Linked DNA regions of Ovis aries. The protein of the gene in region 2 purifies or fractionates together with the protein of the main gene of each other region. This does not show direct contact. Links are inferred from orthologs where the notes say so. Each region holds a gene or a part of one and is shown on either strand. Other genes may lie near its edges. The genes, in order: VAPB, TTC1 and VAPA.

The links.
Region 1: the proteins of TTC1 (region 2) and VAPB purify together in Homo sapiens (affinity purification with mass spectrometry; 4 studies listed by BioGRID and IntAct, counting the BioPlex papers as one, with this or other methods). This does not show direct contact. The link is inferred for Ovis aries from reciprocal best matches to the Homo sapiens genes TTC1 and VAPB.
Region 3: the proteins of TTC1 (region 2) and VAPA purify together in Homo sapiens (affinity purification with mass spectrometry; 5 studies listed by BioGRID and IntAct, counting the BioPlex papers as one, with this or other methods). This does not show direct contact. The link is inferred for Ovis aries from reciprocal best matches to the Homo sapiens genes TTC1 and VAPA.

What each region holds. Positions count from the first base shown.
Region 1 is NC_056066.1:57,609,280-57,612,930, forward strand, and holds part of VAPB (vesicle-associated membrane protein-associated protein B/C), read right to left. Parts: coding exon 3,573-3,651; intron 1,791-3,572; coding exon 1,614-1,790; intron 1-1,613. UniProt on the Homo sapiens protein: Endoplasmic reticulum (ER)-anchored protein that mediates the formation of contact sites between the ER and endosomes via interaction with FFAT motif-containing proteins such as STARD3 or WDR44.
Region 2 is NC_056058.1:69,207,063-69,210,713, reverse strand, and holds part of TTC1 (tetratricopeptide repeat protein 1), read right to left. Parts: intron 1,560-3,651; coding exon 1,499-1,559; intron 445-1,498; coding exon 332-444; intron 1-331.
Region 3 is NC_056076.1:42,436,403-42,440,053, reverse strand, and holds part of VAPA (vesicle-associated membrane protein-associated protein A), read right to left. Parts: intron 2,204-3,651; coding exon 2,069-2,203; intron 1-2,068. UniProt on the Homo sapiens protein: Endoplasmic reticulum (ER)-anchored protein that mediates the formation of contact sites between the ER and endosomes via interaction with FFAT motif-containing proteins such as STARD3 or WDR44.

The DNA.
Region 1 (3,651 bases), on a different chromosome or scaffold from region 2:
AGTTCGTTCACACTAATCAAGTGTCTGACAGATCTGATGACAAGAGGCAGCCAGCACCTTAAGCCCACCCCTCACAACACTCATGGCCACCTCTGTGGGACTGGTTCAGTATTTGTGTCTCCCCGGCTACCCTGGGGCTTATTTTAAGGGCAGGGACCACCCACGTCTGTATCCCACAGTGCTGGGCACACAGGAGGGTCTTAGCAAATGTGTGGCCAAATGAAAGTATGAAACAACACAAAACAAGAAATCCTTGTTTGGCAAGATAAAGAATCTTCTAATGTCAAGACTGGTCTGATAATATTTTAAAGACACTTTGCTTGAGGGGCATGGCCAATATTGCTGCATGCTGATAAATGACTGGTGCTATTCGATTAACTTCAAAAAAAAAAAAAATGGGCACAGCAAAGTACAGCATTTATTTTATTGGGTTTATATAGAAGCTATTTCCACCTATTTATCACTTTAAATGGCAAAGAAGAGAAATACATTCAAGAAGAAGCTTTAGGCGTATCTTAGACTTTTAGCCAAAAGTAGAGTGTCAGCCTCATAATTTACTCCATACCAACAGCAGTCACTGAATGAGGCAAAGCATGATTACTGCAGAGAAAGACAAGGATGCCACTTTCTAAACCCCGTTGGCCCCCCATGTCTCCTACCTCATCAGAGTAACAGAAGGAAGAGTCACCTGCAGTGAATTTATGGTGTGTACCTGGTGCTACGCAGTCAGGGAGTGACAGTCTATGGTGGCTGGGGACATGATCAAGATGAAAAGAACAGATCAGCCTCAAGACTTAAGCTGCAACAAAAGATCCTACAATCAGATGTTCAGAAACACTCTCTTTAACCCTGTGTATGAAAGGCATACTTTCAACACTGGAAGGGCCTTAACAGGGTCTTGCAAACAGAGGCCAGAAGCCGCTGTGATGGACAAAGTTACACAGTGAGTCCAAGTTTGGCTGGTCATTTCCACACTACCGCAGGCCTCCAAAGCCAAGAGGAGCACACCTGCCTCGCTCCAGCACCAGTGCGACCTCACCCCCCAGCGCCAGGCCACTCGCCAGGTCCAGGGCCACAAGCTGGAGCCCCTGGTTCCCTGTAATCTCCCCCATGGATGTGACAGCATCCCAGCTCCAGTCTCCGGACCATACTGATAGAGGATGAGACCCCACTGCTAGACCTATTTAGGATATTCAAAAATCAGAATGATGATTGCCTTAAAACAGAATACACGTCAGTCTTTACTCTCTTCAAAAAGATTCTCATCCAATGGGGATGGAAAAGGGGCTTGAAAATGTGAACTCAAGATAACCATTGTTGTTTTTTTAATTTCAATTTACACTAATGGATTTTTTATTTGTCTGTTGTCATTTTATGAGGAGACAGGAGTTTAAATAGTTGAAAAAATACTGCTCAAGGGACACTGGTTCTTACTTTGGGATGCACGTAGGCATGTGTCCAGGGATTGTTTTGAGAACCTTAGGAAACTTCAGCCTGGAGGAAAAACGTGCAAATACAAGACAACTCCACAAATTGCATCAACCTCCTCACCCAAGACCATAGTAGCAAAGCCCCAATTCCCTGAAGACGATCAGGAAACAAAATGCCATTACCTTGAACTGCTTGTTCTCCTCCCGCAGCCTCTGGACTTCGCTCTGCAGCCTCTTACACTCTTCCATCACCTTCTTAACTTCAGTGTCATCCAAGGAGGAACTCAGAGCTTTAGACACCGTTGGTGTTTCTGTCTTTGATGTAGTTGTGGGTATAATTTTATTTATTTCTACATCATGCTGTTCAGAAATAAATGAAAGCCCAAGTGTCACCAACCACGTATTAAAGGACTTCTTCATGCAAAGTAAAGTAGGTCTCAGCAGACACCACCCAGGGTAGCGTTTCATCCAAACTGTACAATGTCACATTTTTTTAAAACAGATCACTTTATCACCTAGTATCTTCATAATCTAAAACTGGGCTCCAGAAATTATGGATGAGGGCAAATAATGAAGTCCGGCTGAGACTAATACTTCAAAGAAAGAGAAAAGGGGCTGTGCGCACTGCACTATCAAATTCCTGCCATGAAAAATCAGCAGAGCATAGCTGCACAAGCTCAGGAATCATCAGCCACAAGTCACTATGAAGACGCGAACATCCCCCAAACTGGCTGGGCGGGGGCAGAAGGCCAGAGGGGACGTAACCCAGAGGGTGATTTGTCTCCTGAACTTAAGACAACTGCAGCGATGGGATGAAGGTGCAACAAATTCAGTGTCTATGGTATTTCATCCTGGGGAGGCAATGTGTTCCTCACTTCCCCAGCCACGACTGCGCTGTGATCCCCTCTGAAGACCTACTGGGGATGAGTGAGTATGTGGGGGCCGGGGAAGCATGGAAGCCCTTGGGGGTCCATGCAGCAAACGGAGAACAGCGAGCTCTACCCTTAGTCTCCCAGGGGAGAGGAGTGAGGCCCTGGCAAGCAAGACCTCAACACACAGAGCTAACCTCCAAGAGCACAGCTGGGGCCAGAATACAGTCCTCAACTATCCACAACTGACAGAACATGCTGTGGGAAGAGGGAAGGGAAAAAAGGAACGAAGACCACCAATCATTCGAAGAAATGGGATAGTGACGGTGGTCCATTAGTGAGCAGAAAAAAAATGCTAAGTAGTTTTGACACAAAGCATCAGCATTCCTGGAGATTGTTATGGATAACGTTGAGAGTTTGAACATTTCTATTCCCACCACCAGCTATTAACAGCCAGGGTGGTTTAATACTCTGCATGGGTTTTAAACTGTGTTAACACAGTTTAAGTTTTTTGACTAGGGTGAAGGGAGGTTCATGCCAACCGGGCTCATGCTTTGGTTTCACACAGAGAAAAGTGAGCCAGCAGCTGGGAGGGAGTCACTCCTTACCCTCAGTGCTCAGGCAGCAAAAAGGGTGATTCTCAACGGGAACTGACTCTGCCTCGGGAAGGGCATACCTGGCAACATCCAGAGACGCTTCAGGTCATCACGACCAGGGATGCTACTGGGGTGAGGTCAAGGATGCCACAACACACCCTGCAAGGCACAGGACAGCACCATAGCGAAGGACTCCTGGCCCGAAAGTCAGCAGGGCTAAGGGTGAGAAATCCTCATCTAAAAGCACATTTTGACTGAAGAGAATCTGGGGTTCAAGAGGTGGAGAGTTGGTGCTCAGGAGAAATGCAGACAGGGAAGCCTGCAGACAGCACTGTACAAGAGGAGCTGAGCGCTCACCGTCTTTCCCACTGTTAAATATAATAGCAACCTAGAACTTTGCCCAAGTCAAAGAAGCTCTTCGGAATTTATGACATTTCAACAGTCAACAGGTTGTGCTTTTCAAAGGCAAAAAAAATTTCAATGAGTTCTTTCTGTGAATCTTTCAAAGGCAGATTTCACAAAGGCCCACTTATTTGTTGACTTCAGCGAATTTTTCTCTTCATACATCAGAAGAAGGAAAATAATTTGCCAACTTAAATCTTGGTTTTGCAGGAGATGGTATGCAAATAAGTATCAGCTTGCAACATTCAATTATTGTTAACTATAAACATACTTACTGGTTTATCATTTTCTGCTGGCAATTCAAACACACATCTAAGTTTTGAATCCATAAGGTCTTCCGGTTTTGCCTCCTTC
Region 2 (3,651 bases):
TGGAGTAAGCAGCTGGAGCTATGCTAGGACATGTACTACTTGGCTGTTTGATTCATTAACCTACCCTGGTTTGGTAGAAACTGTGCCAGGCTTCCTTCTGTGAAAGTATTCACTCAGCCACTTTTTAATAAGGAATATGAACAGTAATCTGACTTAAGTTTTTCAAAATTATGCTTCTATCCTTCCCACGCCCTTTAAATCAGCAAAATATAGGTGTAGGAAAAGAGAGGCAGCAACTTTAAAGCCCCTATGCTTGTTTCCGGGGAGAAGCTATCCTACAAAAAAAGTGCAAATTCATGTGCTTCTGAAAAAGACAGGGTCCAAGACATACCTGTTTCATCCTTGCTGCAGCTCTGTTGGAAAACAGAACAGACCGGTCTTTCTGGAAACAGGAGGGACACGTCTGCAGGGCACGAGTATAAGAACTTTCGGCTTCTATGTAATCTGAGGATAAGGGAAAATATAAGAAGTTGTTATGATTTTATTCCTGATATTACTGTATTCCAAATGACCTCAGGATGTATAGCTTTCCATTCTATACATTCACCTTTCACTTGGCTTATCAATTTAGTAAAGAGTTTTGAAACGGGATTAGGAAACTGGACAGATGAGAGACTAAAATCTGGAATTAACAGCCCAGAATGAAGAAAAAAACTCTCTCTATTTTTCATTAAAGATATTCTGCTTTCATGGAGTCAACCAGGCTAAAAATGCTTCCATGAAGTGTCTGGAGAGACATTTTATAGAGCTAAAAGAAACTATGTTAGAAACCACTAGTTGACTAAACACCTTAGAGAGAAAATGGTGATAAACTCATACATTCATTGCCACATACAGAATTAGTTAGGATACTAAAAGATAATTGCCTACTCACTCCTTTCTCAGGTTTGAAATATTTAATATTAAAATATAAAGAGATAAAACTTTCAAAGAATCTTTAGTTCTCTTAAAAAAAGAAGTGACAATTGATAGATCAGGATACACGAAAAAAAAATTTTTTTTAACCTAAAAGTAACAAAGGGAAGATGTTACTGCTCCTAGATATCCAAAGCAAAATGAGACGTGACAAATTTGATAATAAGATCAGATAGTTCCCCCAAATCATAAAAATGAACCTCAATTATCCCTAAGCAAATACAAGAAATGCATTAGGACCATCTCTCTAGTTAAGGCATCTATAGAAAAAGGAACTTGAAAGAGCAACTGAAGTGTAAGCAAAACCCTTCTCGAGGCAGCACAGGCCGCACGGGGCCAGTATTCACAGCACTGTCACTAAGTGAGGAACTGAGACCCTCTTTTTACAGCAATGCGGCAAACAGCCTTTTAACATTCTGGATTAGTTTCCCAAAACAAAAACTCAGAGAGCTTTGTTCTTCAGTACTGTTAGCAGTTCAGATCTGCTAGCTGTTTCCAAACATTCTTCAGTGTTTCTTCACAGACTCTACAAAAGAATGAGGAGTCAAGACAGCCAGCATCAGCGCTGAAAAACACATCTTACCTCCCTTCTTAAACTGCTCATTTCCCTCCTCCTTTAGTCTAGAGCTCTCTTCTCTCCTTCTCTGAAAAAGATCAGAGAATGACATAAATACAGTATTATGATAAGTGAACAGAAAGGCCAGCTTTCATTACACTAGGCTATTCAACAGCCAGCAGCTTGACTTTTGAGAACTGGGTCAGTTTTATCTAAATCTCAAACACACAGAAAAAAAACACACGACCATCTGGCTAAACATCAAGTGAATTCTTGACACTAAAAAGACAAAACCCAGGTTTTCTTTGTTTCTGGCTTTTGCATGGAACAGTAATTTCCACTTACTAAAAATGAAACTAATAGACCCACTGGTATGCTTACCTTTATAAATTAAAATTCTAGATCTGCTACTTATTAATTGCAGATGACCTTGGACAAGTTTCAGATCTTTCTGGGTGTTAATTTCTTCATATAAAAATTAAAGCTAATAGATTTATGGGTTAACGTGATATGTATGCAAAGCTTCCAATACACTGGTGAATAAGGGTTCAAAAATTAGCTATTATTTTTCTGTAAAATAAACAATGTCATACTTATTTAGCTACAACTGCACTCTGTGTCATAAGCAGGCATACAGAGGCTGGCAGAGTGTACTATGGGGGATGAGTCTTGTTTGCAGGGTCAGGTGGTATGCTGTTAGCAGGCTAACACAGGGAAATTTGAGAAACCCAGAAGTCTCTTTTCCTAGCCTCTTCTATCAACAGAAATTCATGCAGATGGTAGGGCACTCATGGGACTCAAAGGTAGAGTGAATGTTAGTCTGTGGGGCAAAAAAGACACGTGCCGAGCCCCTATGTGCTCTCAGCCCTGAACACCTTGGCAAGTTGGCCGGCATAAGCAGAGCTAGCATGCCACCTTTGACAGCATTTAAACAAAAGAGAATCTCCAAAAATCTCTTCCTTCATTCTTGAAGTTTCTGACTCAATAAAAACTCCAATGGGAGAACACAAAATTAGCAGACTTTTTCATCGACAGTACAAGCAACATCCTGAACCAAATTTAAAAAATATAATGCTTCTGGAGAAGATCTGTAAATGAGCTGCTGAGATCTGGGTGCTTTGCAAATACCTTATTACGATACTCTGAAAGAAACAGAACACTTGATGAATCTCAATAAAGAAACTAAGAAATAGGTATAAACAGAATCTAATTTTTACGACATCTATTATAGGCCAGATGTTCAGCAGACAATAATAATTCATTTTAGGATATAACATATCTGAAGAAGGCCTATTCCAAGGGAATACAGGAAAATATAAGATGGGTAGTGGTGATGACAATCAAAATACAAAAATGTGGCCACATTTACCTACTACCACCCAGAGGAAGGTGCCTGAACTGTAATATCCTCTGTTGAACTGGTGAGGATTTTTTGTTGTTTAGTCACTAAGTCACGTCTGACTCTTTTGTGAACCCATGGACAGCAGCCTGCCAGGCTCCTCTGTTCATGGTATTGCCCAGGCAAGGATACTGGGGTGGGTTGCCACTTTCTCCTCCTGGAAATCTTCCCGACCCAGGGATCAAACTCACGTCTCCCTGTACTGGCAGGCAGATTATTATTTTTTTTTTTTACCACTGAGTCATTTGGGAAGCCCGGTTAGGATTTCTGGAGGCAAGCAAAAGGACTGTCTATCTCGGGCAAAAAAGAAAAAAAAATTTTTTTAAGGGCTTAAGTTTACTGGAAAGCTACCATGGGGCTCACACAATCATGGGGAGGCCTAAAATATGGACTTATAAGACAGACAGGACTCAAGGCAATTCTGAAGTCAAAAAGCTAAAAAATATTGATGTGTCTTCTAGGAGAAGAGTCTCGCCAAGATAGGGCTGTAATAACAGCCAACAGACCCTAACCATTCCCCCTTTTTTGTCCTAATTTAGATTTAAAGTTTTGGTATGAGCCAAGCATAGTCACATGCCTTGGCTGTCAAGTGAACAGAGTGAACAGGGGGACTGACCAGCACTCAACAAGGGGAGTTTCCTCCATATAAGAAAGGGAATTCTATGCTGGAAGCAAAGAAAACCCCATAATGAATCCAGTTAAAAGTTATTTCAATCCCAAATAGACAAAGTGACCTGGAGAAACAAAGTTGGAGGCATCACGCTCCCTGATTTCAACCTAC
Region 3 (3,651 bases), on a different chromosome or scaffold from region 2:
AGAATATGAGAGAGGAAATTACCTCCCATTCTCTCATTAATTCAACATAACTATTATTCCCATATTATCTTCCAATATTCTTTCATATGCATGTTTTATAAACTCAGCATACATGTAACTTTTAAATCTTTCTTTATTCATTTATATGTACATCTTTTAAGTGTCATTCTAAACGACATGATGTCACTAAATACTATTCTGTGCCTTACCTAAGTTACTTAAACATTTCACTCTTATTAACATCTGATGGGAAGCTACCACTCTGGGATTTTAAATACCACGTCAACTAACAGCATCTCACAGTGACAGAATGAGATCTTTTAAGTGAAAATTTTCCTTAATATAGTTATATTGCCTTTATAAGGAAAAGGAAAAGAAATGTCATGACCAATCTGTGGTGCATACACGTTAAGACTAGGATGCACAGGATAACAGTGAAGCCTAACACTTGTCAGAAGTGAGCCCAACAGGTCATGAGATGGTCACACTGAGTGAGTGCATACACACCCTGTGCTCACAAGCATTCAGGTCCCTGCAAACCAGTTGGCACACACAGCAGGGGCAAGGAAATCCAATTTACTCATCAACTACTTTATAGTGGAAGCATACAGAACCTAACTCGGGGTGGCTAAAGAAGGGCTGAGTGGGGGCGTCACTGGTGCAGGACAAGCTGGAGACCCCAAGGCTGCTGGGACCTAACTACAGGCTCCACTGCATGGTCCCTCCTCCAAAGTTGCTTCAGACGCTTCCCAAAGAGGAGACAGGTTCTTCTAAGAGCCATGGACACCAACTGGAGGCATTCAACAAGCTGTGACACCGAGCAGTCAAGGAGCAGTGACGCTGCGCACATCTAACACGGCAACTCGGAAGAGACTCGGCAGTCAAGGCCACGCTGCCCTGCTCCACATGACTCAGCCTATCAGCAGCAAGCCCCTCCACCTAGGAGATGAGTTTACTGCTGTACTTTTTAGAAAGCCTCCTTTAGAATTTCAGTTCCAATACTCTGAATTATTCCCTTTAGGGATAATTAGAAAAAGCAAGGGCTTAGGGGCTGCCAGAAAAGGAAAGGTGAGATAAAAGGCAAATTTGGTTTCTGCACTGAAGCCCTGGGACGGACAGAGGAGGGAAAGAACGCACACCGGGGCAACACTCGTGGCTCTTGGGGGAGTGAGGGGTCCAGGGCATGTGCAGAGGGTAAAGGGCAAAGCCCAGAGAACCGCAGGAGGCTCAAATAAGACCTCAGCTGAGAGGAGGCGGTGTTTGAATATAAAGTGACCAAAGTATCAATACATCTGCAGTCTAAACTAAAATCACAAAACTGTTAGAAGTATCAGGCCTTTAGAGAAAGGAGTAGGTTTTTGAAGCCTTAGTGTCCATGTTCTCTGAAAGCTAGAGCTCCCCAGAAGCAGGACGTGTGAAAGAGAGGCAGCCTACAGCATCCAGGACACCCCCAGGAGGTCAAGGTCATCGACAGTGACTCAATGGATGTTAGGTGCACACAAGCATACACACAGGCACACACACGGAGACACTAATAAACTCAAATGTGACCTCAGATCTGTAGGGCTCCTGCTACCATTCTCCCTGGGGGGCACAGACAATTAAAGACAGTGACTGTCAGCTGCATGGGACAGAAGATGTAAGGCAGAAATCTCATTGATCTTTCTTATGTATAAACATAAACACCTGCCTGGAGAGTGACATCCACCAGCTCCTCCCCCTTGACTGACACCTGCTGCCCCCGTCAGATTTTTCCCAGAAGATGCTCCCCAAACCTCTCAGTGACAGTGAAAAAGCCGCCCATTTCATAATAATGCTCCCATTTACACTGTTCTGCTCACGACTGGGATGTTATCGAGTGCTGTGTTTGCTGTTTAAACAGAAGAATTTGTATGCATGGTTTTTAAGTGACTGTGGTTCTGCTGTCATTTTAAACAGCTGAAATTTTCAGTTCTAGTTACTGCACATAAAACACTCACAATAAATACCTCGCACGTGCTCAGTGACTATGTCACCGTGATCAGTGACACTGGCAGACCCGTCTATCTGTCAGCTCCCTGAAACAAACCTTCTGCTTCTCCTGTTTGAACACACTGAAGCCCCTGGGCTCATTCTTCGCACTATAAGTGGTAGGTGCTGTGCCTGTGCTGTTGATGCTGCTCAGCGGAGCGACGGCCACGGCGGGCCCTGGAGGAGCGAGACCCTGAGGTGCAGGGGAAACACAGTCTCAGATTCACACCGAGCTCTGACCACTCCTGCGAGGGACTGGGGATGACTAACACAGAGATCATTAGGCTCTCAACATTCAACTTATTCTATAAAGATGTGTCACACATAAGAAATAGTAATAAATAATAGTTATGTTAGAGCAAAAACTACCTTTTTGAAGTTTTTTTTCTATGAATTAGCTACAATCATCTTGCATTACATTCACTAAACTAAATGTATAAACCTTATTAACCTTAGGCCAGCCTCATGGTGTCCTAGAATGAGGACCTTCTACCTGCATGGCTCCTAATTTTTGTTACTAATGAATACTTGTCAATACCTGAAGAACAAGCACTTCCATTTTCTTACCTTTGAAAACACTCGAATAATGTTTAAATTAAATGAATTTTTTCAAGGGTTCAAAAATTACAATAATTTATACACTTCTGTATTCAGCACAGACACCCCTCCCACAAACACAAACATGCGCACACACCCCCCTACCTACCTCCCAGGATCAAGACACAGACACACAGAACATTCTAGTACACCACTGTATCTCCACAGTTCTCTATCTTCTCAAATTCCTTTAACACACTTAAAGATAATACCATAAAAAATGTTGTAGCAGATCAAATAATACTTACTGATATCCAGGTCACTAAACATAACTATGATAAGACCTCTCCATCTTATCTGATAATGCACTGCTGTCAATCTGTTCTTTATCTCAACAGAAAATAATGCACACGTAATCACAGAAAATCTTTATACACAGGACCCCTAAGGTTCCCTTTCTTGACTGCCCTTCATTCTTCATTACGATAAGTATTTTTTCCTTGAAAATAACATTATATCATAAAGCAAAAGTCATTAACAGATGTTAAATGGAGGGCTTATAAATGAAATGTAATACTTTTTTAAAATTTGGAAAATGTCAAGTAGAGTTGGTGGCCTAAAAAAAACACAAAAAAATTTTATTTCAACAGAATTGAGTAAGTGATCAAATACCATTACTAACAAGTTAATTTGAAACCACACTCATTCTAAAAAAACCACGAACACTAACTGGACGTCAGATTTCATAATACAGAGATAATCGTAACTAACAAGAGTTAATAACTCAGAGAACTGCGCTTGCCATGAACTTACTAAAACGCACCAACAACATGCTCACAGCCCCGAGGACTGGGGGCCACAAGTCTCAGTACCTAAAGGCAGAGCTGCCCAGAAAGTGTTAGTAACAGGACCTCTTTTCATTCTAAAATGAAAGGTTTCTTCGACTCCTAGGCCATTCTATGTACGATCCAAATCAGAGACCTATTTCCCAAAAAGAAGCCCATATTCTAATGATGGTTCAAATACATTATGACTGTTTCATCACAAAAATGACTTCCTTAAACGATAAACAACAACAAAAAAAAAATGGACTCAACCACTATA